Oreochromis niloticus: one gene and its partners. The main gene of each other region encodes a partner of the protein of the gene in region 4 in a complex. Links are inferred from orthologs where the notes say so. Each region holds a gene or a part of one and is shown on either strand. Other genes may lie near its edges.

Region 1 (5,808 bases), about 19 Mb from region 4:
ATTTTAATAAATTAATGACGAAGCTCAATAAACACTCCAGTTTCAAATTATATTAATTTTTCTGACAATGATTTCATAGTTCAGGCTTGTCAGGGTTAATGCGTTCAAGTGAAAGGAAGGGGAGTGTTTCTTCATTAAATAAATTTTTTCTGTGATTGTTTGATGTTTCATCTGCATTTGTGGATACTGTGACCACAAACGCAGTCCATGCAGTGATTTACACTAAAAAACCAAAAATAAAGCCCCATCCTTTAAATTGTATGCTAAGAAATGTTAAACTGTTGAGCTCTTTAACACCCAAGTCCCTCCGAATGCTGAACCCTGTTCACTCCTAGAATCCTATTAAAAGAACCACAAACATCAAATTGGGTCATTTTTTTTAAACAACTGAAAAACTCATTTGTTAACATTTGTGAGTTCACTGTTAATTTTTCTAAGCCGATTTCAAAGATTTCTTGTTGTGATGCTGAATAACGGGGTGTTTGCGCACAAGAAATTAAGATGAGGACCTGGTCACTTTAAAACTATTGGCAAGTCGCTTTATTTTACTTAACCAAAAAGTCTGAATTCAAGCATATACACTGAAATTTCTTGTTTTACTGTCTATAAACACACACGAGACACAAACATGCAGTCTGAAGACTGAAGAACTGACGAGCACACGTACAGTAAATTTAAAGAAACAAAGGTCACGGGAGGAATAACAAACAGTCCCGTTGTGATTTTAAGAGCCATAATTTGCTTCATCGAAAGCTTTCCGAGCTCTCTTCAGCTCCTCGTTCATGGTCAGCAGATCTTTGACTCTAGCAAACTTCCTGGGATCTTTGCGAATGAGGAAAACGATGTCCTCCACCTGGACGCGACCCTGGCGCCCGATAGACATGGCCTTGTGGGTCATTTCCGTGATAAACTCGATCACCAGATCCTCCAGAATATCCACAGACTCCGTGTAAGGGTTCTGGTCGTCTCCAAATCCGTACATCATGCACCGGAGCTCCTTGGAGAAGAGTCTCTTTCTCTTGCCGTAGCCGACATCCACCCCGCCGGAGCCGTCCTCCAACTCTTCGTCGAAGCCTGGCTCGTCCTCCTCCTCCGCCATTTGCTGAAAAACACCCGCAAGCGTTATTCTAAACCTCAACATTACCTGCTCATTGTTAAATACGCGTTAACATTAAACTTACCTTGTGCTTGTTCACAACTGTCTCACAACAACAGCTTGTTATGTGCGCCGACTTCCGCTTTTGTTTCCTTGACTGAGGAAGTGGTGGTTTGTAGAGGAAACAGACAGGGCTAGAAATCACAGATACTCCCCCTTGTGGCCATCTCTCGCCAGTGTTTAAATTTACTCGTGTTATTCGCCAACACAGCTGAGGCGGTAATGCTCCTTTACGTTGGTTGCCAACCGCCGTTAAACACAAAGAAGAAGAAGAAGTGAAGAAGCCAACACAGCTGACGGTGAGTTTCCTTTAAAGCGCGATCTGTTTGATTGTATCGGAAGATCGAACTTAATTTAATATCGCCTGGTTTATGCGGGAATCGCCGACACGTAGCTTGCTTAGAATGTAAAAAAAGCTACGCCATTTTCATTTGGTTTTACTTTAGCTAAACCCTAGACCTAGACAAACTATGCACAAAGGGCGATGACAAGTTGGCGGTGTGAGTGGAAACAGAAGCATTGTTCATGTGGCTGAACAAGAACAACACCTCACAGCTAACGTGGAAAGAAATGGATCTCGGTGCTTGAACAGAGGGTTCAGATTCCAAGTAAACACTGAGAGCCTTATCGCAAGGGCTCAGCACGTGCACGTTGCCGTGAGTAAGTGACACGTCCCCGTGGATCTTGCTGTGGACTCCTGCCCCGCCAAGTGATGTTCAAAGCTTATCTCAGTCAACCGGATTGAGTATTATAGCTAATTACTGACCTGATAATGTTAACAAGTTAATATAGATGCTAAATGGCAGGCTAATGTTAGCTAATGAACTATAAGGCAAGTTAACAAAGAAACCAGTTTGACCTATAAAACGTAGCAGCTATCCAGTGAGCCTTCCTCTCTCAGTCACTCTTGGAGGACTGTTGCTGGTGAGTTCGTCTGCTGGGGCTGTCTGATGTTCCTGTTAGTTAACGCACAGTGTTTAAGATTAGCACAACATTGTTACCAGCTGCTTATCCGCTAGCAGACGCAGTTAAGAGATTGCTAGTAGCTGATAACGTTTAATTTGAGCTAAAATGAATGTTGCCGTTATGCTAACATTGTATCAAATAGGTTTCGCTTAAATTCTGTCTGAGCGCCTGTTCCACTAACTGGCATTAATGTGCACAAACGCAGTCCTGCTGTAACCTTGTTTTTCTTCTCTGCGGTGTTTCTGTTCCTTTTCTGCTGTAAAGAGGTCTGGTATGGCTGTTCGGGGAGGATGTGGGTTCAGGTCGGAGATGGCCCCTCTGCAGTAGCTGTGTGTTGTGGACAGCTGGTCCTGGCAGTCCTGTATGGCGTGCCCGGTCCAGTTCCTGTGCAGGGGGCTGCGCACTGTTGGATTAGTTCTTCTCTACTATGTCTTCTCTATAGGCATCACATTCTATAACAAATGGCTAATGAAGGTGAGTAAAGAAGCTCATACAGCCATGTCAGTTTCCTATAACATGCTTGGTTGTATTAAAGGTGATTAATGAAAATAAGCACCTGAGGGCGCTCTGCTTTGCTTGTTTGGGAGTCTCCTGGATCCTGAGAAGGAGACCTACACTGACTAGGCCATCCTAGATGACCCCAGCTGTCTCTCTCCCTCTCTCAGGGCTTCCATTACCCCCTCTTCATGACTTTAGTTCACCTCACCATCATCTTCTGTCTGTCAGCTCTGACACGACAGGCTGTGCAGTGGTGGACAGGGAAACCTCGTGTTACTCTGAGGTGGAAAGAGTACCTCAGAAAAGTAGCACCCACAGGTGAGTTTTATCTTGAGTCGGGAGACTGGTGATTTAGACAAGGGACAGTCGCCTCTTATTGGGTTCACCGATTGACTAAGCTCTGCGGAATGCTTCGTCTAAAGTCTGTGTGGAGAGAATAAAAACGCCAACCCTGAGGAGACTGATGAAGATATGTAAAAGCAAGCGCATTAAATGAATCGTTCCAAACCAGTTTTGCCTCGTATAAACTAAAATTCTGCCCAAACTTAAGTTGTAATAAGATCAGTTGAAATAATCCCACACTGAGGAAATTTACCTGTTAGAACAGCAAAAGAGTCAGAAGGAAAAAGTGAGTCAAAGACTGAGAAAAGCAAAAATTCAGAGTAATTAAATCAAAAGTAATTAATATTTTGTTCCGTTGTACTGTATACACTAAAACAACATCAAGGTGATTTTAATATGTGAATAAAGGGCAGTGGGATTGATTATATACATGGTAAATGGTAAATGGCCTGTATTTATATAGCGCTTTACTAGTCCCTAAGGACCCCAAAGCGCTTTACATATCCAGACATCCACCCATTCACACACACATTCACACACTGGTGATGGCAAGCTACATAGTAGCCACAGCCACCCTGGGGCGCACTGACAGAGGCGCCCCAGGGTGCGCCCCATGTATTTTTTATTTTTTTTTAGTGGGTATTTGTGCTCTAAATGCAGTGAAATGAGTGGTTTTAACTGTGTTTAAGTTTTAAAATGAACCTGTCATCCTGTACTTCTAAATTCTGTCCTTCTTACCCGCAGCCATCGCAACAGCGCTGGATATCGGACTTTCCAATTGGAGCTTCCTCTTCATCACCATTAGCCTGTAAGTTTGTGGTTTGGAGATTTTTATTAGAAGCTCAGTATTTTATCTTAACCAGTCACTGTATTGTTCCTTACATATTCTACGACTTTTATTTTGTGTCATTCAAGGTATACCATGACCAAGTCCTCAGCAGTGCTGTTTATCCTGTTTTTCTCTCTGGTCTTTAAACTGGAGGAGCCGGTGAGTGTACTGATCACATGACGCTGACAGCAGTGCTAACAGTGCAGTTTTGTCTTCACTTTAATGTCACGCAGACACAACTGGAGAATTAAGCATGCTTCTCATACAGGCAAAATGATACAAGAGGCAATTCTTTTAGTCTGTTTTCTCGATTGTGGTGCATTGCACAAAGCAGGCATCCAGCAACGTTCACAAAGTGCACTGTGGCTGTAGCAGAACATGCGAAATTTCTAATTTGAAAACAGTGCTGCACATGCAGCGGTGATGGATCGGTTATAAATATGCCAATTTTTCTTAATGGTGTCATAGCTTAAAGATTCGATTCAGTTCAACTTTATCTATATAGCACCAAATCACAATAGTCACTCACTATGAGGTGTTTGAGCTCTCACTTCAGTTTTGTATCACTTCCTGTTACAGAGCACAGTGGTGTTTTGTGTAGCTTGATGGGGGTTTCATCACATGAGCAGTAATGAGCAATCCTTACCTCTTGTCTAATCTCTCCTCTAGTTTGTGCTTTGTCTGTTCTTCTTTTATCTGCCATCCTGTTTCTTTCTTCTTCTTTTTTCTGTTCAATTTTAACTTGAAACTGCTGTGTCATTGTCTTTTCTCCCTTTAAATCCAGAACCCATTTCTGATCCTGGTGGTCCTGTTGATCTCCTGCGGTCTCTTTATGTTTACCTTTGAGTCGACCCAGTTTAACCTGGAAGGCTTTATTCTGGTGCTCCTAGCATCCTTCATAGGGGGGATTCGATGGACCCTCACTCAGGTCCTCACGCAGAAAGCCGAGCTGGGTAAGTGTTCAGTCACTGTGGAGTGAGGGCTTCCAAAGAGGTTAAAAAGCCTATAACCTGGAGCTACACCAATTAATTTTGAGTTGTGGCTTTCATCAGGTATACAGTAAAACATGATACACACCATTTCAAAGAGGATTGGTGTGAAATACAAAAAAAAGAAAACAACTATCAGAGAGACCCAAAATATCCTGTTATGTGGTTTCAACCTAGCCGTCATCCTTGAATGGTCTACAAAAAGTTAACAAGATCCACCAGTGATGGCTCTAATGCAGGTTTTGACACAACATTAACAGCAGGTAAAGTTGGGTTGTTGCTTCCCACTGTCTTTCCTCTGAGTTTATTACAGCAGCATCCATCCATAAGCATTTACAAAGTAAAACACATTGAAGCCCAACAGCAGTAACTTTAACTATATGCCAGGCTTGTAAAGCACTGATTTAAAACTCTGCTATGATTTGAGATTTCCCAGCGGGGACACAGTTCCCTCTTATTTTCATCTTTTTCATGCTGCACTGTTTTAGGCCTTCAAAACCCAATAGATGCCATGTACCACCTCCAACCTCTCATGTTCCTTGGGCTCTTTCCCCTCTTCCTGTTTAATGAAGGTGAGTATAGAATAAGTTCATTTTCTTTCATGTTTTGTCGCTGCGTTAAATTAAGCTCTGTAGCCCCTAATTATGGCATTACAAGTCTTTTGAAAACCTTTACAGACCCCACTATGCAGTGTGATGGTCATTTTCCATTTAAGAAACTGATTAAGTGTCAACAAGGTGTCTATTCTGACACCCACACCTCATTTACATGTAAATAGGAAATAGTTCACATGTGTAATAGATCAGCAGTAGTTTCTCAAGCCCAAGACCCAACGTGTAAAAAGTAGTGAAATTTAGAACACAGACCTGATTGGTTTCGGGTTTATGACTTGAGCACAACACAACAGCCAGTGTGTTGAAATTCCAAATATGCTGTAGCACCCTACGAGCTCTTCTCATTTCTCTCCTTTGAGCTCCCATGTAAAGTCTCTCCTCCGTACTCCCACCTGTACATCAGTTGCAGTGCAG
Region 2 (8,002 bases), on a different chromosome or scaffold from region 4:
TCACCCAGACCAAAGGGGGATAATGTAGATTGCTTCTGCTTGTCGTCCTTGCTCTTATCTTTCCCCTTGTCCTTTTTATCCTTGTCCTTTTTACTTTTTTCTTTATCCTTCTTTTTGTCTTTATGTTTCTCCTTCTCCTTTTTAGAGCCGTCCCCATCTCTTGACTTCATTTTGATTGAGCCCTCAGCCAGGGCGAAGTCTCGTGGAACAAAAAGTTCCTCGTCCTTTACCCCAAACTCCTTCCAGGGCATCTTCCCATCTTTAGAAAACTCCTTGTTTTTATCCCTGTTCTTGTCCTTATTCTTCTCTTTCAGCTTACTCTTATCTTTTTCCCTGTCTTTATCTTTTGGCTTGTCTTTCTCCTTCTTCTTCATCTTAGTTTTCAGCTCCTTCTTTAGCTTCTTCTTGACATCTATTGATGACACAATCTTATTTTTCTCCTCAAACACCTTGAGGAGTGGTTCAGGGGTAGGTGGTGAAGCTGATCCGGATGACACGTAATCTGCTGCCGGTTGGGGTGCAGCGGGGGCAGATGGCCCCCCCTGGTTGGCCTTTCGGATCACCTCGTTGATTGAATCATCCATCGTCCAATTCCCCAGGCCTATGTGTGGCGGAGGGTGAAGTGGTGTTGACGTGTCTTTTAACAAGATGCCAGCACCAATTGGGCCTTTAGGTGTAGATGGCTCCATAATAGTCAGTCTCCTGGGACTGGAGAATCCATTGCTATCCGACTCAGAGCCCGAGGAGAACGCGAATGGATCGGGTTTCCGTTCAGCACATGCTCTAGCTATCACAGCGTCAATAGAATCATCAATTGCTCTATTATCTGGCTCTAATTTCTTGAAAGGGCCTGCAATTAGCTCCCTTTCTTCTATGTTCTGACGCAAATGAATATTGTCTTTGCCCATGCTCTCACTCGGTGTGGACAACGGTAACTTTTGCATGACATCTGGTTTGCTCTGAGGTTGGGGGGCTTTAGCAGGGGCCATTTTAGGGCTCTTGGGGCTTTTAGGACTCTTTGTCTTGCCTGGAGACTTTTTCTTTTCCTTAGATGGTTTTGGTGAATTTATGGGACTGCCAACCACTGGAACAGGAATAACCCCTTTAGGGGACTTAGTCCTTTGTCTGCCAGGGGAAGAGACCTTAGGCTTTCTTGCTGGAGCAGTGAGGGCCTTCTGATCAGAGTGTTTTGGTATTACGGGCTGAGGTCTAAAGGAAGGCAGGGTACCAGATGGCATTTCAGGTGACAGGGGGTCCAGGCTGTCATGAGAAGGCAGAATACCTGGACTAACACGTTGAGGGTTGAGAGACGTAAGGGGCTCCCTGGGCTCAAGACCCCACTCTGGGCTGAGGCCAGGGTACATCCGAGGTCTCTTGGAGGTAGGCATCATGCCCATAGCTGCATCAGGACTATCCAGGTGCCTCTTTAGTGGATGATTTTCATCGTTGACCGTTTCATCTTCATCTATTTCCTCCTCATCCTCTTCCAGTGCCACCTGCATAGCTTCAGCTGAAGTACCCATATCAGGGGGGACCTCTTCCTCCTCTTCTTCTAGAGTAAAGGAGATAAAAAACAGAACTAAGAACTTTGACAATAACAACATGACATTTACAACATAAACATATGACTTTAGTTTGAACTTTTGACTTGACTGACTTTTGACTGAATATATTTGGGTATTAAAAAAAGTATTTCACTTTGTGTGAATTGATGCATTTACACTTATTTTTAGCAACTTAAAATATAAAATATAATATAAATATACATTAAAAATTTACAACACAATAAAATGTCTACAAAGCAAAAAGATGATTCGTAAAAAACTATTTTACGAATCTGCTGTGTTACATCATAGTCTAATGTAACAACCCTGCAATAAACTTAATTATAATGCTATATTGTTTGCAAAGTATTTAGAGAGGACTTGATTCGACTTTGCTTTCAACTTTCAGCCTGTGCACACTAAAAAGTAATGATCATATAGCTAATACTATACAAGTTATTATACTGACCTTCTTGTAAGGAGACCAGGGGTGGCATATACTCTGGAATGTAATCCTTCCTTTCCTCTGCATCTCGAACTCCAGGTTGGGGAAACTGCAGGACATTGTTTTTGCTAACAGGGTAGAGCGGTGTTTGGTGGCTGAAGGGCACAGGCTCCAGGTTGTTGACGTAGTCCTCCAGTTCGCTCAGACTCACCCCTAGCAGTCTGAAAGCCTGGCTGACATCGTCCAGGACTGGATCTGTTCTTCCATCTGAAATGGATCAAAAATGCTGTCATTAAACCACAGCACACACTCTGCACACACTCTTCCTGCACCAAGAAGTGATGCTCAACAGGTTTACAGTCGGCATACGACGTTATTTTATAGATTATACAGCAATTAAGTAACCAATACTCGTGAGATCGGCTACTTTTAGCACTGAAAACAGATGCAAAGCAGCATACTCCCAATAATAATAATAATAGTACTGGGGAAGTCGCTTTGCTGTTCCTACTGTACTTTCTGACACATTAACTGCTTGCTAGGGGGCGCCAGCTGCAGAGCCAGTTAACAACAACGTGATCGACTACTTTTGAGTTTACAGGCTAAAAAAAGTAATAAGAGAACCAAAGAAAGCACTTACACAACTCAGAGTATCGATGACAGACCCGACCCAACTGCTGGATGTACCGATGCAGCACATCGGACAGCAGATCACACGCAGTGAGCTGAACCGCATCCCAGCCCAGAGCCTGGCAGATCTGCGCCACCGAGACACGCAGCAGCGAGCGGGCATAGCTCTCGCACATCTCGCTGACTTTGTTACGATATTAATCCCGGTCAATTCCTCTTGGAAAACATGCTCCCGCTCTTCATGTTTCGCGGAATGCCCCGAAGGGCTTGGGAAAACCCACTACCACGGTTAAATATGGACATCTACTTCAGTAAATATATTGGCGCTTTTGCCAGAGTCGCCATCTTGTTTCCATCGATAGACCCATCCCCGGAATCTAGTCCGCGCATGCGCGCCAGTGAGCCTCCGCCTACACGGCTCTGCGGAGTTCGAGCGGATCGTGACTGTCTGCACAGGCGCAGGAGCTCTCTCTGTGGGTTATACAGGAAGCTAGATTTTACTCAGGCTGGGAATGGTCATTAGTTGGGCTATTGAATGTAGACTAGTTACCGTAGATGAAACATGGCTTTAAATTAGAGCCATGACTCAACTAAACTAAGCTATGCGCGTTTTTTTTGACGCTGCAGGAACATTCACAACGTTCAGGGCACGCCAGCCGTCAGTTTCGGTTTTAGCTTCTCACCGCCGAGTGACGCCGAAGTAACTGTTTCTCACTTCCGGCCCAAGTAAAAAGTAGAATATTTCAAGAAAAATATACCCACTGTCTGAGAAAAACAAAATCCCAATTTGCAGGGTGGCTTTTTAAAATTCATTTTGTCAGACTAAAGCTAATTCTAGGTGACTCTTAAATTTGGAAAGCTAACGTAAACTTTATCACATGAGTTTGTGTGAGAAATAGAGCGTGGTTTGCCTGCAGGTTTAATTCCCCACACTGGGTGGTGCTGGATTATTAAAAATGATCACCGCCTTCCAGCTGTAGACCTTTATTAAGCAGTCGAATTTCAGTTTATCTCCATATATTTCCAGACTTGTATAACAAACTGACAGTCACATCAAAGGAAAGCCAGTGTCAATGTGTCTGGTCACCATGTGCCCACCACAAAAGCTTCAGTGCACCTCTGCAATGATTCTCCTAAGTTATTGGATCCCTTAAGGACCATTCTTGAAAAAAAAAATCTGTATTGGTTCTGTGACAATGGTGCTGGAGATGGCTGTTTAATCCGAAGTCTCAAATTCTATCATGGGTCTCAAAACTGGTTGTAGATTTGGTGATGGTGAAGCTTATTAGCTGTGGCGAATGCTGGAAGTGTCAAATGTGTCTGTGTAGGTTCTCAGTCAATCCAGAAGTCTTGACTGCTGGAAAATAAGTCAATGGGACTTCTTTAGGTTCTCAAAGAAGTTTTGCCATTTTATTCAAGAAGCTTCCTCTAACCACCGGAGAGTCTTCGGTATTTAGCCCTAGACTGGCCTGTCCTGAGAGTCACTTACCTACTGTTGTGAGTCGTTATTTGATTGGATTCCAGAAAGTTGATTCTCTTCACCTCGACTTTGTGTTTTCAGAGGGAGAAATGCTTTGTCACTCCTCCAAGGGACGTCTTAAGTCTCAGCTGACTGCAGATTTCCTGAACCTTATAACAATATATTTGCATAATGACTGAAACTAGCCCCACTGATTAATGATGGGTGTGAGGTCAGTTTCGTGATCATTAATATGCAAATGGTTATCACCACTGATCAATCACTGATCAATGGCCTTGAGTACCATTCACAGAGAGTGGGAGAAAGGCTGTAAGATGGTGAAAAAATGTACCTCTGATCTGTTCCTGTAGTCACTCCCTACATGAATGGCCTGCTTGTCTCCCTACATAAAAGGGAGTGGGTCTTATCACCAACGGTGATGAGACGGCCTACAGGGAGGAGGTCAGCGCCCTGACCCACTGGTGTCAAGACAACCATCTCACCCTCAACGTCGCAAAGACAAAGGAGTTGATAGTGGACTTCCGGAGGTGCAGGGAAGTACACACCCCCATCACCATCAACGGCGCCGCTGTGGAGAGAGTGAGCAGCTTCCGCTTCCTTGGTGTACATCTGGCTGAGGATCTCACATGGTCAGTACACATAAACAAAACAGTGAAGAAGGCGCAGCAGCGCCTCTTCTTTCTCAGGAGACTGAAAAGATTCGGCATGAGCCCCCACATCCTCAGGACCTTCTATCGCTGTGCCATTGAGAGCATCCTCACTGGATGCATCACCACCTGGTATGGCAACAGCACCGCTTACAACTGCAAAGCTCTCCAGAGAGTAGTGCGGTGTGCTGAACGGATAATTGGAGGTGAGCTTCCCTCCCTCCAAGACATCTACAGGAAGCGGTGCCTGAGGAAAGCGGGGAGGATCATCAAGGACTCCAGTCACCCCAGCCATAAACTCTTCAGACTACTTCCATCAGGAAGGAGGTTCTGCAGCATCCGGTCCCGCACCAGCAGACTGAGAGACAGCTTTTTCCACCAGGCCATCAGACTGCTGAACACGTCATAGACACCTCACCCTCACTACTGGAACTTCAACATTATGCACTCCATACTGTACATTAATGCCACTGTTTTGCACATGTCCAACTACCAACCTCTGCACATTTTATATATCTTATTTTATTGTTTACTCTATTTCATTTGTAAAAGATGTATATACACACTCACACACACACACACACACACACACACGTAGAAAAACATATTTAGTATACACATCCAATAATGCATATACTCTTATACATTGTACATATATTTATTACTTTCAGATTTAGCCATTCTTATATTTTTGCTTGTTTTACGTTATTGTATTTTTGCACAACTCTGTTGCTTGAGAAGCTCGCACACAAGAATTTCACTCGCATGTACTGTACCAGTGTACCTGCACATGTGACGTGACAATAAAAGTGATTTGATTTGATTAAAACCAGTGTTGCCAGGATGCGTACATCTCAGCCTAGAAAGAGTTGCCACTGGTCTATAGGTGTAAAAAGTCCCGGCCTGTTGAGGTAGCTGGTTTGTGTTGTGCCATCTGCTTAGCCAGCCAGAGGTTGTTTGGTTTTCCTGATGTATAACTCACTTCACTATGGCACTTCACTATGTACGCTATATTACTTTGTCTGTTCTGGGGAATCCGATCCTTGGGGTGAAGCAATTTTTTTGGCGTAGTAAGTTTTGGGGTTTGAAAGGCACAGAGACATTGTGTTGAAAGAAAATGTCTCTCATCTGTTCGGATGCTCCTGACATAGGGGATCACTAAAGGTTTTCATTTAGGCAGCAATTGTCCTTTGCGCCACGCAATCCAGGATCCAATTCCTTTCTTGGGATTTTCTTACCTAGATAACTGAGCATGCATCTAGACATTGTTTGCTTCACTTCATTGGATAGCTTAAGCTGGGCATACACTGTGCGATTTTTTTCAGTTGCGTTATTCAGCTCCTGCTCAAACTGTATGATTGAATCGCAGGAGTTAGAAGTTCGTAGGTCACGATGCATGGTCTCACACTATACAGCCCGATGCTCTGATGTGACCTGAGTGCTCACACTGTGCGTCCATTAAGTGAAGTGATAACATGAAGCTTATAACACAAAATCTGTCTCTTGGTCTCCCTCTCTGTCTTTCATTCACACAGACACACACACACACACCACCATCAACTTTGCTAAATTACTAATGAAAGACATTGACTAGGCAGCTGCAATTGAGCAGCAATGTCCATCCAACTCTTTTCACAGTTGTTGCGGTCGTTTTAATTTTGTGAGGCCACATCGAAAAGGCTCGGATGAGCTTGCCAAAGTTCTACAAGTTGGGCCTGTTTATAGAACTGAATAACCTCTTGTATGAGAGGTGAAATATCTTCAAAAACCTCCTTTTTTTCAACCTCCCAAGACTACATTTATATAACTTCTGGTTCTGAAAAGTGAAGCAAATGCAGTAGTGCCTTAAACCCAGCTCAATTTTTTAAATAACCAGCAGAGGGCCTTCTCTATTTGCAAAAGAAAAAATGAGGGGAAAAAAAGACTTCTGGGGATAAAGAAGTCTACAGCACATGTGTCAAAGTTAAAGCCAGCGGGCCACATCCGGCCCGGCGTACATTTATATCCGGCCCGCGAGATCATTTTATATAGATGTACTATTATTGTTATGCATGGCCCGGCGATATGAGGCGCTAATAATATACGAACTACAGATCCCATAATGCAGCGCTGCAGCCTCCTTGCTGAACGCTAGGCTAACTGGGAAGATTCCTGCTCAACTCAAACTTCTGTTATTGCGTATGGGCTCAAAATGTGGTCATAAATATTTTGTACTTGTAAATCAGTTTTGTACTTGTAAATCAGGATTTGTATGTGTAAAAAGAATTTGTGCGTGCGTAAAAAAGATTTGTATGTGTAAAAAAGATTTGTGTGTGTGTAAAAACGATTTGTATGTGTAAAAAGAATTTGTGCGTGTGTAAAAAAGATTTGTATGTGTAAAAAGAATTTGTGCGTGCGTAAAAAAGATTTGTATGTGTAAAAAAGATTTGTGTGTGGACTTAGCCAAAAACTCCCCTGCAAGTTACAAATACGAAGTTTGACCCTATTTTTCTTCCTGTCATCTGATTGGTGAATGTCATGTCAATCACAAATGTAACAATCCAATCAGAGAACAGATGGGTTTGGCTGTCGGAGGGGCACTTTTTTGAACTGCAGGTCCTTGAAGGGAATAAATGCCCTTTTACATGCCAACCCAGCGTTTTCCTTCATCACCACGAAGGAAAACAGTCTGTGGTCGTCCGAGTTTGGTGATTTTTGTGTCACAGGTCTACGTGCTTTATACAGGGACTTCCACAGCCTTTTCAACAGCGCTGCGGACCGCGGGGGGGGGGGGGGGGGGGGGGCAGTGTTTTGGAAATGACAGTCTTCATTACAAAGCTTTCTTCGTTATGAATTAGCATACATGTTTTTATTGAACATTTGAAGAACTAGCAAAAAAAACAGAAACTGTTGTAGAGGACATAAAGTCAGAGATAGAAACGACAAGGAGCAGGTGCATCTAGTACAGGTAGAGCTGCTGCAAAAACCCACAGAGCTCAGCAGCCAGCGCAACAAATTCTGGATCCTTTGCTTTTAGTTAGCAGTTAGCATTAGCAGCACATCCTGCATCAGATGTGAAAGGACCTTTATGCTGCGCACTGTGACTCACAGCAATGGTCCTGGGTCAGCCCTGACTTTGTGTTAAACTAATCCTAAAGTAATAATGGTATTTCTAACCACTGACATACCACAACTTTATCCTTTCAACAGCTGCGGACCTAGCTGCTATCGGATATTTATATAGAGATCCTCCAGCTTCAAACTGTATTACCCTTCA
Region 3 (8,003 bases), about 4.9 Mb from region 4:
GCTGCTGAGTTTACATGGAAAAAAAACATTTTACCTGGTAGGTACACTTAAAGCATGTGGATATAACGAACAAATACATGTAATATTCAGATTTATATAATACTTTTTTATTTTTCAACTACAGTTCATCTCCATAGATGAACTCTTTATTTATTGTATTTGGTATTCTTGATTTAAATCTGAAAATCAGGCAGAATAACTCAAAACACCTGAGTGTCTGTGTGGTAACACCCTGGCTGTGACCTGAGGAGCCTAAAGCAAACAATCTAGAGCATGCTGAGTGTATTTTATTTTAAATTCTCAGCTCCATACGGACTTATTTCTCACCCTGAATGTGTTTCTGCCCTCTACAGGTCAGTGTTGCTGTTTTGACCCAGCATACAGCTGGTTTGCGTCAGCAGCTCCCAGGTACTGAGAACAACAAGTGGTTGATTCAAGCGGTGTGGGAGATCCACAGTCTGTGTGGGGCATTTTATTTTGGAGAGAGTGCCTAGGAAGCTTCCCAAAAACCACACCAAAGTACACAAACCACAACGAAACTCACATGCTCGGATGCACGAGTCTCATTTTTAACCAGAACAGTTTTGACAGTATTCAACAGAACTGTGTGATCTAGGAGGGAAAGCGATGGATGAGATGGGCTCAGCTCTAGCCGGGCTTTGCATGACTATCCGTGTCGTTTATGGTGACGATGTTCCTGACCACTGGTTTTTGATGGGGCAGAAGTCAGCTCATCCGAACACTTTGTGTTCATGATTCCATGCTTAAAATAATACACACAATGACGTCAATGACAATTATTGTACTTGATCATGTGTAAAGCACTTTCTATAGCCAGCCTGCATTTGTAAGCACAATAGAATAGAATAAGAAAACCGCATGCTTACTGCATCCAATAAGCCATACTGTTGTAATTTAATATGGTAAAGTTGTCTCATATTTTTGTTACTTTCTTTAAGTTAATTGTTTCATTAATTTATTTTTTTAATTATTTGCTTCTTTTTAAAAAAAATAAAATAAAATAGAGCAGATCAAATTCAAGTTTGAAATAAAAAAAATATATAACAATGTATATTTAAACAAACCTATCATTAACAGTGTAAATGCCACAAGTATATTCATTAAATGCCATAAACCTACTAGAACTTTTACATTCAGCTAAAGTCTATTGTTAAACATCTTTATTCACTTATTGTAAGCGGTTTACTTTGGGCAGTCTGCTGTTTGTCTCAGTATGTGGCTTTGTAATGATGGATTTAACATATATTAATGTTATATATGTATTATGCTGGGATCTCTGTATACTCAAAAATAAAGGATCTGCATTTGTTTTGCTGTGGTTGTTTTACCTTCACTCCTGGGAAACAAATTAATGGTAAACTTTGTAAATTAAATTAAGCTATTGCCAGTACATACACTAGCTAACCAATCACATTTCAGCCGGCAGCTCAATGCATGGTCAAGATGAGCCGCTAAAATACAAAGCAAGCATCAGAATGAGAAAAAAAAAAGGTGATTTGCAGTAAGTTACTTTGAACGTAGCATGGTTGCTTGTGCCAGATGAGCTGGTCTGCATATTTTACAAAGTACTGATCCTTTTTAGCACATTTAGCACCACATTGAATCCTGAAGCTGATGGGCTACAGCAGCAGAAGGCCACACTGGATCCTTGCCAGGTGGGCAACAGGAAACTCAGGGTACAGTTTAAACAGGCTTTGGTCAGACGTGTTTACTTTCTAAATATAGATTTTTTTTTTCTTCTTGTTAATTTCTGCAACTTTCTGCAAACTTGCATGTTATTTAGCATCATCCTAATATAAATACATCATAAACTGGGACTCATTTAACCTGAGCTGGTAACCTCAGTTAATCTAACCAACAAGCCAATTAGCAGGCTGTACTTCTGTACTTCAGCCTTTCCAGCACAGTCAGGATTACAAGGAGCAATGTACTTAGAACAGCAGGTTCCAGACGGAGTAAATTAAGCCAAGTAAGCCAACAGATACAAAACATGTCCTTGTGACCAGGTTTAAATGGCTTTTATTATAAGATGTGAATAGGAGTCAAAAGCTGAGAAATTTATGTTGACTTAAAGGGTATATGCTTTACATTATTATTCAGTTAACCCCGTTTATGAATTTCCTGTATTTGCCAAGCTGGATTCAACAAGAATAATCTAACTGCAAACACTGTGTTACAGGTAAAACACTCAGTTTTAAAATCTCTGAAATAAAAAAGTCACTGTGTGTGTAATTTCTGTAATTATTTTCACATATAAACATTTTAAATACTGTGTATCTAAACTCCTTCTCCCCTTAGCTCCTGTTGAAAGAGTTTTCACATCCACATTTGCCATAAAACTTCCCCCTCAACCACAGCATGGTGACTTGGTGAAGTCCAGAATAGAGACAGACTGTTCATTTCAGGCAGAAGTAACAAAAAAATGGAGCAAAGGTCTCCAAACAGTCTCAACATTTTCCCAGCAGTGGCAAACATAAATGCCCAGAGCTCAAACTGAGTTGCTCAAAGAGGAACATTATCGACTGTGTAATTATTGCGTTATTACCTGCAATATTTTAGGCAACCCTGCAATCCAAAAGAGGACAAACGGGGTGAAAGGTTGTCCCTGGATTAGCTATGAAGAGTGGAATTAGTGTGGATACTTTTTAGCATTTTCTTCTGTATTTTACTCTGACCTGATGTATTAGTAAGAAATTCTTTACATAAAATCTTCACCTCCTTATTCAGTTCAAAATCTCAAAGTACTGAATTAAAAAGTAATGCTTTAATGTAATGTCATGAGTAATCTGTATAACTGCTCTACTTTACTTAGAAAATTATATTAATATGCAATACGACAGTTAAAGACTTATTGTAACGTATTTGGTCACTACCAGCACAGCTAAAAGTCAAACTGGATAAAATGTTAAGCATGATTCATCTGGTGTACAGATGTTAAAGCAACGTGTGGTTGTCATTTTCACTCAGTGATGATGTCTCTGTGACAAAGATCAGACACATTTCCCAACTCGCTACTCTTCTCTCGTGCAGCAGGGAACTGGTTCAAAGGGCAGAGAGTTTGAGACACGTACACACGCACGTACTGTCAGCATTTTGGACAGATTTAGGTCCAGGAGCAGAGCAGCTCAGGACAGCATGTTTTAGGGGATTCTATTGACCCTTATCTTCTAATGAGGCTTATCTATTGCTGTTCAATAGGGGGTATTCCATGTGTAACCAATACTGTTGTCAGACAATATCAATTAACCAATAAATGGGGCTGGCTTTCCACAGCCCTGCATACGCTTATTGGACACTAATGAAGCTCTCCTGATAAAGATCAATATGCATGGCACAAACCCAGGACTCATGTTGTTCAGTGGTCAGTAACATGTTAACTGTCTGAATGTTTACATCATTTATTCATTTATTTTTAACTTTTCTTACACAGAAGGTGTGCCTGTGTGTGCTTGAAGAAGTTAATGAGTACCAACCAATGTTGCAAAGCATTACTTACTGTCAGAACAATATAATGTTTACTGCACGAACTGCACATGCAGAGTTCAGGCAACATGTCACATCACATGCATTTCATCACATACAGGGATTGGATGTGTCTGCCCTTTTACCCAAACAAGTTCTAATCTCCAACAAAACAATTGGAGTACAAGTGGCCTCATGAATATGCATTGTGTCCCCAGTGTGGGCGTTAACCTGGCCCTGCTTGGGTTTAAATATGCAGGCTCTGCCTTTGCCTCTGCCTGCAAAGCCTGATTACTCAGAGCGCACAGAAAAAGAGAATAAGAGAGTTTGCGCGTGTGCTTTGAAGTAAGTATTATTCTCTCTTTTTTGTGGATAGTAGAATTTTTGCATTTTAATTAAATGGATTAGTTGTCAGGAGTAAATCTTTGTACTGTTTACAGAATATCTGGTTACAATTGTTCCTTTTCTTTTAACAGACTCATCGACAACACATTATGGAAAACTTTGGCGAGATCATCCCATTTGCGAAGGAGATGCTGACACAGAGACCCAGCCGGAGCATGCTGAAGATCTACATGCTCGGCTCTACTCTGGCAATGCTTGGTATGGTCGGGGGACTGGTAGAGATGGCTTTCCTGCCCTTTGTGGAGAGAGATACTGAGGAGGATGAACCAGCAGAGCTTATCATCCTGAAGAAGAAGGAGAAGAAGCAGGTGCTGAAGCCACACACTGCCTCTGCTGATAGTGAAGTTGTTGATGTGGTGGATACAGTAATGCCTGAGGAAAAAGCCAAATATCTTTTGACTTCAAGGCGGAGAAGCTCGGCCAACCGCTTACATGCTTCTTAAAGAAACTTTCTCCTCTTCACATAAATGGACACTAGAGATGATGGTAATGTTGGTAAATCAAGTCATTGTGTGGAAATGGTCCCTTCGTGCCCATTCTTTATTTCAAAAATTGGTTAAATGTGCAGTTTGCTCCTGTTGACTGGGTAAAAAATGAGATGAGATACAGTGAAGACTGCGGGTTACAGTAATGTTGGCTGCTGGGCAGCAGATATTTGTGAATGTGATGTGATAGATTTGTTGTAAAAGTGGAATATGTGTGATTAAATTTGTTTTGCACCCTAATAAAAATATATTTTTTTCTCCAAACAATTGTCTCAGACCATGACTTTAATATAATCTGTGGGGTAGGTTACTTCAAAGAGCGGACCTCGTGTTATAATTAGCAAAAAGAGAGAAAATGGAACTAAAAAGATGCAACTGATCTTTTAATCTCAATTTTCTTCATTTAATGCAATAATTTTAGAACTATGACTGAAAAATATATTTTAAAAAGTATCACAAATACCTTTTCCAAGTACTTATTTTGCATTACAAATTACCAAATTAAAAGCCTGCTATATTAATTTTACAGCAGAGGATTTTCACAAATTAGAAGTTGAAGCAGGTGTAGTTTTACAGATGAACACTCGGGGGCGACAGACAAACAACATGTGTGATACGATCGCCTTCCGCTAGAGTGGCGGAAACAACGTCATACAGTCGTGCCGTGTTTACTAACGGCGGCTAAACGGTGTTCGGAGAGATACAAATATAAATCTGGTCAAAACAACGAGGAGGTTTCTAATAACTGCAGATGGCGGATCCTGCGGTGGCGTCGGGAGGCCCTCTGAATGCGGGAGCGGTAAGAAATGTGTTTTTGGGTCACGGAGAGGAGGCGGATGTAGCATGTAGAGGCGGATTCGCGGTGCTTGGCTAACAGTCAGACTGCACTGAAGTCCTAATTCAATTTAACAACTTTAAATAAATATAATTTAGTCCGGTGAAAGCTTGAAATACGTTTTTATAGACTATAAGGTGGGTTAACTTTATCTATGTCAGTGCTTACCCTGTCTGAATAAATGTTTGTGTCCTTAAAGTGACAGGAAGAGGTACGTTTTACATGTTCTTTAGTCTTAACATATGGGCACATCCTCATCTAAATTACAGCTGTGAACAAATAGAGTCTATACCAATATCACAAACACTAAATTTAGGGAGAATGAAGGTTTTAGCAACACTTCTTGTATTTTTCATCGATATTTGGGGTAGACCGACAAACCGTTCGAGCTGTTATAACTTCCATCTGTCTGCTAACTACAAGGGATGGCTATTAATAACATTTTAGACAAGGTCAGTTTATTTATAAAGCACCTTTATTATTAATAATAAAGTGGCACAGCCATTCAGTACAGTTTAATTTTATTTATATAGTGCCAATTCACAGCAACAGCCCCCTCAAGGCGCTCTATATTATAGACAAAAAAACCTACAATAATACAAAGAAATCCAACAGTCAGACCACCCCTAGGCAGCTTTAATGTTTGTCTGTTTTGTTTGGCCTATAAAGTATAAATCGTGCCTATTTGGATCTAAAAATGCTGGCGGAAAAAAAAAAAACGAAAATTCAAAAAAAATGTTTGATCTTTGTTGATATCCCTGACGTTTACATGAGCTAACCATGCCACTAAGTCTGGATTCATGAAAATGTTGAGGACAGTCCAGTTTGTTTGTTTGTTGTTTTTCCCCCCAATAAATACAGCAGCAGATTTTAAAGGTGTTTTCTGTCCACATGGTTGGGGAAGGTTCAGTGAGCATTTGCAGTATGTGTTATCACTTTGACTCAGAACTGTTGCATCAGTCTCCAGTGTAATCAATGGAGTGAGCATTGCAGTTTCAAGCTGCTTTAGTACCTCGGGGATAATGCAGTTTGCTGCAGTGGCAAAAATTAAATCTCTCAATTACACAAATGTATCTTACAGAAACATGTCCACCATCCTAAGCTCACTAAGAGCTGGATGGTGAATTAGAACAATACATTTTAATATTAACATAAAATTAATTATTATAGAATTGATTCAGATAAACAAAATGCCTTTTTAAATCACCCAGAGCCCAAATATTCTCCCACTTTCACCACCAGCACTGGGAATGTTTAATAAGTCTGTTCAGTAAGGACTCTTGAGAAATGTTTGTGAAATGTAGAAAATATGACAATTTTGTAGGTTTAGAGGCTCCTTGCCACTATATTTGTTAGAAGTCACATTTATTTCTAATGTTATGGTAATAGCCCTCATAACCTTAGTGTGCATGCACATTGTTGGCATATTGGTGTGTCCACCAAGCAAAGGGAATAACATACACTGTGTGGTAAATTTGCAAAGCTAGGCTCATTATGCTCTGTTTGTTATACTTCAAATTACAAAAGCTAATGTCCATGTGCCCCTTAGCTGTAAGTCAATTAAAGATTCTGGAACCATGTGTCTGTTTATTTAGCCTTTTAAAGAATCCTTTAGTCCCAAGTGTGTTGTGACTATAAGGAGATATTTTTCTCATTAAGACAACGGCATATCTATATGTATTTCTGTTGTATACCCTTATTCACATTTATTTTATTTTTCTCAGCGTGGAAGTGCTGGTAAAGCAACTTCTAGCCCTGCAGAAAACTACCTCCTGGCCCGCCGTCGAACCCTGCAGGTCGTTGTCAGCGCCCTGTTGACTGAGAGTGGCTTCGAGAGTGCAGAGAAGGCAGCTGTGGAAACCCTAACTGAGATGTTGCAGAGCTGTATGTATGATTTTTAAGTATACACCATCCACTGGGAAAGCTGTAAATCTTTAAGTGCCACTTTTACAATATATATCTGAACACCAGTGCAAGTGCACCTCACTTTATTTAACCTACTTTCTTAAATAAACACTAATGGGAATAATTTTGGTAGAGGTTGGTGAAAAAAAGCTGAGAAACTGACATAACTGAGCCCCTGTAGACTATTTTCAGAGCAGACGTTTCTTGAATTTGCAGTTGGTTGATGATTCATGTTTACAGAACTGATTATTTTTGTCTCTGTTTTTAGATATTACTGAAATAGGTCGATGTGCCAAAGCATACTGTGAACACACAGCCAGGAGCGTCCCGACACTGTCAGACACAGTGGTCACGCTTATTGAAATGGGTAAGACCTCCTATAACACATATGGATTAAACGTTGCTAAGAGAACACAATACTGATTCGATTTATTCTGTTTGTGTCATTAAAGGTTTCAATGTTGATACTTTGCCCATATATGCTAAAAGATCACAAAGGATGGTCATAACTGCCCGTAAGTAGGAACTCAGCTCTCCATTATTAGTATTAAAATGAATGACTTGAGACCTTTTGATCCAGTGGTTTTAGATGTGAAAAATGTTTATTTATTTATTTTTTAATTTCAGCTCCAGTGACAAATGCTCCTGTGACTCCCAAAGCGCTGTCAGCTGGACAGAAGCGCACACATCCAGCCCACATCCCCAGCCACTTCCCAGAATTCCCCGACCCTCACACGTATATCAAAACACCTGTGAGTCAGAACTTTTCCACTTCATTATGGAGATCCCTAGAAAGCTGGATTGTGTATTATAGAAGTACAACTGTACTAAAAAGTAAGCCACTTAAGAGTTTTTCTTCCTGTAGACTTTCAGAGAGCCCGTGTCAGACT
Region 4 (6,825 bases):
TTTTACTAGTATAATGCAAACTTGACTTTAATCTCAAAGTACAATATTTACAAATACAGTTTAAACAGAATTCATCAAGTCTTGATGACAACCTGCACAAAAATATAAACTGAAGTAACAAATATCAAGAACCCAGTTTTTCCATCAAGTCTGTCTTGAGTCCAAACTATTTCCAATTCCAGTTCATGGTCAAACAACTAATACTATTGGCTACAGAGAAGAAGGGCCTTAAATGATACGAAGGCTTTCAAATATGGAATCAAACTAAAAATGATGTTTGCATTTTCAGCTTGGCCCTAATCACATTGAAATGTTTCACTCAAAAAGAAAAACAAACAAAACATTGGCTATTAAAATATAAAACATGTTTTAAATAAAACCATAATTTCTCACGGTTTAGTTGCAACCAATTTAATGATGAGAAAAACGTTTACCTCGACTTTGAGGGGTGAATGGCAACTCGGCTTTACTTAGCAGCTGCCTTGACTGCTCTTCAGGACTGTAGTCACTGCCTACTTGGCTGCAAGATGTGTTAAGTGGCTTCATGGTGAGTTTTCCATATGCTCTGCACCACTTATTAAATTACTGGCATTTATCCGTCATCCTCATACAATCTGCAGCTCAGGTGTGTCAGTGAAAGAGAATGTTCTTGTACTTTGTGTTGGGAATCTGATCTCTACTCTTCAGCCTCCTCACTGCTTCCCTCATGTGCTTAGGCTGAAGTGGTGGTGTGTCTCCCCACTTCTCACAAACATCCAGAGCTGTAAAGGCAAAGACACCTCATGAAACTATAATTCATATAACCTTGTAGTCTGGGTGATTTCGGTTTTCTTAAATCCTCCAACTAACCTTCCTCGACAATTTCCCCAGCAAAGACCTTTGCGATACCAGACATGGCAATAACCACATTCTGGGACACCGATGATCCTGTTATTGACTGGATGAGCTAGAATATTAAAATAAGAGGCATCAAATCAATACAACAATTTCAGGGTTTTTAATACTTCCTCTATTAAAAAAACCAAAAAAACCCCAAAAAACTTACCCTTTTAATGGCAGCCTTAGGGAATGCAGAACGTCTGTACATTTCATATCGATTCAGCTGCTCTTCAGAAAATGATGACACCAAAACTCTGAAAATGTTATGGAGTTATGGTGAATTTTGGCAAATTACATAATTTCAAGAATAAGAACGATGACCTGTGAGATTAAAAAGGCCGTCTTACTGCATCTTCTGTATTTCATCTTCATCAACCTTGTGCCGCTTCTCCTTTTTCTTCTCAGGTTCCACTTTTAACCTTTTCAAAGGAGGCTGGCCAGAGGTTCCCTCTTCCTCATCTTCTCCTCCTGGTGTTTCCTATCCAGTGGAAGACAAAATTATTCAGAAATACTACAAAGAAAGAGACACCACTGTGAAACCACATAACAAAAACACAAATGACAGCCTGTAAATTCAAATCTGATCATTCAGGTTTTAGGATTTTTGTTGGTTTAAACTATGTCTAACCCTGTCCACACTGGTCACTCCCAGTGAAAATCTTAGCATCCTTAAACTCCACCTCCTGTCTTTTTGTTACCCCCACTGTCTCCAAACAACACCTCATTGCAGGTCTCATTACCATCTTGTATGGCTGCACTCCCTTGTTCACTTCCGTTTTGCACGGTTCATTGCTTTGGATGGCTGAGCCCATATATTTATAGACTAATCTACGCTCAGTACCTCAGCTCCTTACATTTTCACTTTTAAGCCTATTCCCCTCTCATTCAAGTACATGTATTCTGTTTGCTTCTACTGACTTTGATTCCTCTTCTCTCCAGCACATATCTCCACCTCTCTTCTATCTGCTCCCCATTCCCACTAACAGCCACAACGCAGTCTGAAAACATCAAAATTCACATAAACTATGACCTGCCTGACCTCATCTATTATCCTGATGTACCTTTAACCTATATGTAATTCCTGCCGCACACCTCACCATTGTCTCAATATCGTTGTACATGTCCGGTAACACCTTTACATAGTTCTCTGCCACTCCTGCCTTATCATGCTGTAACAGCAATCCTCCCTTGGCACCCAATCATTTCCTCTCTCTAGATCCATTTGTTACCATATTTCCATCTCTATCCTTAATCACCCCAACCTTCTTCAAATACTTTCCATCTTGATTTCTCCGTCTACCAGTCGATACAAGTTCTTTTTCTCCTTCCTCACATACAACTCACTATAAGCCTTTGCAGTGCGTCCAGCCTTCCAGTACTCCTGTTTACTTTCTTCATCGCCCTAATTATCACACTTTTTCTTTTATAACCTCTTTCTTGAATAACTTATGCAAATGACGCTCCGAAACTCACATGTTTAATTTCTTTAAGCTGATCTTGCGACGATGTCTCTAGGTTTTCATTTGCAGGTTTTTCTGTGGCTGAAGGATTTTCGCTTTCCTCTGACTTCAGGTGCTCCTCGTCGGTAGGAGATGTCCTCTCAAGTGCATCATCGCTCTTGATCCGTGCAGGGTCTGCCATTTTACTAATTTCACTTTAGATTCTGCAAATATCAAAGAAGTTGATGAGATACTTAACCCCAACTCTAAAAAGCTAGCTACAATTAGCTAAATTACTTAATTGTTTTAGCTAGATAGCCCAGAAATTAGGTACATTAGTATTAATAGCAGTGTGTGGATAAAACTTTACAAAAAACAAACAAACGAGTATGCACATACCCTGTCCGCAGCTAGGCGTCAACAAAGCAGCGGCAACAGTCTGGCCGTCAATTTAAGCTAACGATTAGAGTTAACGATTAGAAGCTAGCGGCGGCTAACATATGCCTGATTTATATAATATACCCCAGTACACAAAATTATATTCTAATGAACGCAGTAGCTGTGGATTATATAAATATGTAACCACCTATAGTAAGAGGTACGATGCATCAGATGGCTAATTTCCCTGGTAATGTTGCTAACACAGCATACGCATTTCCGTTTCCGTTTTGTATGAACTTTATTAACACCGCCTTCTGTGTAGTAACCAGCGACGGACTATGGAAGTAACGTTCAGAAGTTAGGAATAAACAGGACGATGTTCATTCATTTGTTTGTTTGTTTCGTTTTGCTTTGTCTTTTTGCCCCTTAATTACAGCGCAATATTCAGTAAATATTCAGGCTGCAAGTGGCTTCTGTCTGAAATAAATAAAGCATAATATATTCCTTGGTTTTCTCTTGTTATTTCCCAGATTATCTACTTTCACTGGACAAAATGCTGTAAAACATTTATTAATTTGACCGGAATTAATACGATTAGAGTTGCCTAGCTGCTAATGTCAGGTAGTTCCATTGACAGTAAGATTAATTCACAGTTATAGTTATTCCTAAAAAATTTTATTCTTAATTTGTGTTCTTCTTATTGTTATTATTATTGATTTTATTACTAGTAGTATTATTTGTATTTATAGACTACCAATCAGTAACTTAAAAAGCGTTTAGTAAGTAATTAAGCGACTATGTATGGACGTTTACTGTGGATACAAGAGGTCAGAGGCGAACAGATCTTAAAAGCACTGAATGGGTAAATCCTGCCTGTCTCTAACCAATGCGCCATCTTGCTTATATCCATCCACCTTCTGATTGAAGCAGTAAGGGCGGCGGTATTAGGGGGTATAAATGTGTGTGTGTGTGTGTGTGCGAGTGTGTGTGCGTCTGAAGGGTTTCGGATTGGAGATGCATAAAGAAAGGGCAGTTTCGAGGAAGTGACGGACGACGCTCAGTGGTCTGGTCAGAGGAAGTTTGTTCGATGCTTGTGCCGTGCTGTTGAAGGAAACTTTTCACTCCCGTGAGCGCCAGAAGCACCCGTGGATCGGGACGGACGGATCCAGCGCGGCGGAGGGAGCTTTTGTTTCCTCTCCACACTTAGCAGCACTGAGGAATAACTTGAGGTCGGGAGAAAGAGGGGCTCGCACAGGAATTTCACTCCCATAACCAACCCCCCTCCCCTTTTTCCTTCTCTTCCCCGCGCCTCCTTTGATTTCTTTCTGGGATCCGCGATGGGAAAGGAGCAGGAGCTTCTTGAAGCGGCGCGCACGGGAAACCTGGCTGCTGTGGAGAAGCTTTTATCCGGGAAGCGACAGTCCGCTGGCGGATCGTCTGGGACCGGTGGAAGCGGCAACAGCGGTGGCCACGGCGCCTCCTCTCATCCGCTCTCCAGTCTGCTCAGGTAGGCTTAGGGAAAGCCGAGGCGAGGTGGCTCTGACTACATGGGAGACAGCCAGCAGCTTTGCCCCTGGCGAATATTACCCAATCCTTTATTGTTACTGCAAGAAACGATGTTTCATGTTTGCATGCTTCCCTGCATTGTCAAACAGTCGCAAGCCAAACCAGTGCAGCGCCCAAGCAGTGGCATGCTTCTTTGTTAGCCTACACCTCCTCCTGTGTTACTGCCATTTCTACTATAATGTGCACAAACAGCCTGGGAGGAAATTATGCAACTTAACTAACGAAATCTGCAACGAATCGGCCCACGATTACGTTTAAAGAAACGAATTGCAGATGTGTCAGTAATTATAATGCTTACATGGCGTCTGGACGTGAACACAGTCACAGGTCTGGAGATGGAAAGTCTTGTCACAATTGGATTCTCATTGTTTAGCAAAATTCTCTTATTTTAAGGAAATCTTTGTCGTATGAAGCCTTATTGACTATCCTCAGATTTGTGTGAGCCAGGAATATGACTTTCTTTTTTTAGTAGTCACTGGAGGAAGTCCTCGGTGAGGTAAACGTTTGATGTGGTTTGTCACATCTATTAAAGACCTACTCTGTATGGTTAGAAAGAGTTAGCTCTCCTTCCTCCTGCTCTCTCTGTCTGCCTTCAGTAGTTATGAGGTCACTATTAAAAACTGAAAAAACAGCCCAGAGTTATATAAAGTAGCTGTCATACTTGCCCACACTGTATTGTCTGCAATTGATAGTGACTGTGGACATAACCAGATTCAATTACCCAAAATCACACACTGGGTAAAGCTAAAAGATATAGTAAAGGGACAAGCCCTTAGTAGAAGTATAAGATCCCCGTAAGGTTGTGCAGATGTTGAGAACATTAAATAAGATATTAAAAAAAAAATCAAATAAAAAAAAATCAGATAAGTTATTTTTCATTTTGCGCTGTGTTATCTGCATTATTGGCTCACCACAGTTTGATTCTTGTTTTTCTCTCTGGTGACAGATAATTTTTTTTTTTTTTAATCATGAAGTTTCTGTGTGTTACACGTGATATGAAAACCTGCAAAGAAAGAATAAAAAAAGTCCTTTTGTTGAAAAGGAGTCGACTCCTTAAAAATATAAGGCTTATAGCCTTTTTAAATGCTGCCTCTCATACAACCTGCAGGTCGCCTGTCTGTGGTAAAGTGTATGTCAATCATGTAAAATTGCTCCCTTGGGTTTCCCGGTAACAGCCGCCTTCCTCTGAGGGAGAAGTGTTAAGGCAAAGCTTGGGGTGATGCGCCACTGTGTTACTTAGTGGAGACTGCAAAATTTGCTTGAGATTATTACATTAAATTCTCCTAATTGGAAATCCAATTCAGAAATGTCATGCAGTGAAGGCTGACTCGTCTCATCCTCACTGCTCCGTGGGCGGACTGGCGAGCCCATTGTGTCATCTCATTTGTCTTGAGCAATCGGTGTTTGGCAATGGGATCTCTCGGAAATTATTGGCTAGGCTCGGGAGGAAATGAATGAATAAATAGGTGGTGTGTAGATCTAAAAAGCTTCTGGCTGGTGACACTTGAGAATACTGGACAGGCTCTTATAAGAATTTGCATGAGTGTTGACTCTGACTGGCTGCTTTGGAGGGCTGTTTCTGTTGTGCATGACATTTGATTTGGTTTCCACAATGAAAATGTCAATACATCTAAGGGTATTACAGTGGATTGGTACAGTGGCACAGGCTGTGGGTTTGTATGTGCATGTTTTTCCAACCCCCTTTTATCAAAATCTCTTTGCAACCCATTCATCATCCATTGTTAGAAAGTGCAGGCCTGTAATCCTGTCAGAGGAGATTTGATCTGTGGCTAAGACAGCTTTCTTTGGCGAATTTTCGCCTGTTCTGGTTGTGTCAGCTTGTACCTCCGCTTGATTCCATGTCCGTTCATTTCTACTTGTGTAATAACACTTTTCCTTACTTCAAGTTGCTTTTCAGGCTCAGTTATATGAGATGATATATAATGACAGTTATTGCTGTTGTCAGTTGCTGTTTGTATTTGACCTTGTACATTCAATATAGTGGAAAAACCTACTTGTTTATCACGTAAATGAAACCACAGGTGATGCAGATGAGTGAGCTAATCAACTTTAGTCCCATTCTTTGAAGTGTTTTGTTGTGTGTGTGCTTCTGCTAGATCGTTAGCGTTCTTACTCTGGAATGGAACGCATGTTACGACTTGCAGTGTTTTTGTGCGCAGGCTGTTGTACAGCTCTGCTCGGCTGAATGTCTGCTTTCCCAGGAGGCTGCATCCCAGCCGTTGCCATGGTATAGACACTGACCCCCGGCGTGTTTAACACCCCTGCCGCCCCAAACATTTGTTCCATGGTGCTCCATTAACACCGAAACGAGCTGGGCAGTGCTTCCTCAAGTAGTAAGATCACAGTGTAACCTTTTTACTACTACAGCACAGCGGCGGCTACTCATATTTAAGTTACATGAATTTAATTTTAGGGCATATATTTACTTGTTTTTCCTCCATACTGTAGTTTTCACTAGAAGCCCTATGACCCTTTTTGAACCCAGAGGTATACAGGAAGAGACCAACACTAGTATTTCCTGGCCCAGGTCATCCAAACA

What was found.
Region 1: taf11 (region 4) and taf13 share a complex: the UniProt entries of both Homo sapiens proteins name them as parts of the TFIID basal transcription factor complex. The link is inferred for Oreochromis niloticus from reciprocal best matches to the Homo sapiens genes TAF11 and TAF13.
Region 2: taf11 (region 4) and taf3 share a complex: the UniProt entries of both Homo sapiens proteins name them as parts of the TFIID basal transcription factor complex. The link is inferred for Oreochromis niloticus from reciprocal best matches to the Homo sapiens genes TAF11 and TAF3.
Region 3: taf11 (region 4) and taf8 share a complex: the UniProt entries of both Homo sapiens proteins name them as parts of the TFIID basal transcription factor complex. The link is inferred for Oreochromis niloticus from reciprocal best matches to the Homo sapiens genes TAF11 and TAF8.

The regions. Positions count from the first base shown.
Region 1 is NC_031984.2:31,664,037-31,669,844, forward strand, and holds taf13 (transcription initiation factor TFIID subunit 13), read right to left. Parts: upstream 1,318-5,808; 5' UTR 1,182-1,317; intron 1,103-1,181; 5' UTR 1,100-1,102; coding exon 725-1,099; 3' UTR 514-724; downstream 1-513. Other genes in the region: slc35h1 (solute carrier family 35 member C2), read left to right, coding at 2,486-2,596, 2,788-2,938, 3,707-3,770, 3,878-3,950, 4,576-4,744, 5,269-5,352. UniProt on the Homo sapiens protein: The TFIID basal transcription factor complex plays a major role in the initiation of RNA polymerase II (Pol II)-dependent transcription.
Region 2 is NC_031972.2:48,372,773-48,380,774, reverse strand, and holds the start of taf3 (transcription initiation factor TFIID subunit 3), read right to left. Parts: upstream 3,011-8,002; 5' UTR 2,796-3,010; coding exon 2,630-2,795; intron 2,257-2,629; coding exon 2,014-2,256; intron 1,553-2,013; coding exon 1-1,552. UniProt on the Homo sapiens protein: The TFIID basal transcription factor complex plays a major role in the initiation of RNA polymerase II (Pol II)-dependent transcription.
Region 3 is NC_031984.2:7,320,351-7,328,353, reverse strand, and holds the start of taf8 (transcription initiation factor TFIID subunit 8), read left to right. Parts: upstream 1-5,003; 5' UTR 5,004-5,124; coding exon 5,125-5,172; intron 5,173-6,932; coding exon 6,933-7,092; intron 7,093-7,381; coding exon 7,382-7,480; intron 7,481-7,565; coding exon 7,566-7,628; intron 7,629-7,740; coding exon 7,741-7,865; intron 7,866-7,978; coding exon 7,979-8,003. Other genes in the region: g0s2 (G0/G1 switch protein 2), read left to right, coding at 3,978-4,331. UniProt on the Homo sapiens protein: The TFIID basal transcription factor complex plays a major role in the initiation of RNA polymerase II (Pol II)-dependent transcription.
Region 4 is NC_031984.2:12,203,380-12,210,204, forward strand, and holds taf11 (transcription initiation factor TFIID subunit 11), read right to left. Parts: upstream 3,013-6,825; 5' UTR 2,905-3,012; exon of another isoform or gene 2,718-2,904; intron 2,543-2,717; 5' UTR 2,521-2,542; coding exon 2,353-2,520; intron 1,358-2,352; coding exon 1,227-1,357; intron 1,134-1,226; coding exon 1,046-1,133; intron 947-1,045; coding exon 850-946; intron 762-849; coding exon 631-761; 3' UTR 10-630; downstream 1-9. Other genes in the region: ankyrin repeat and SAM domain-containing protein 1A, read left to right, coding at 4,037-4,206. UniProt on the Homo sapiens protein: The TFIID basal transcription factor complex plays a major role in the initiation of RNA polymerase II (Pol II)-dependent transcription.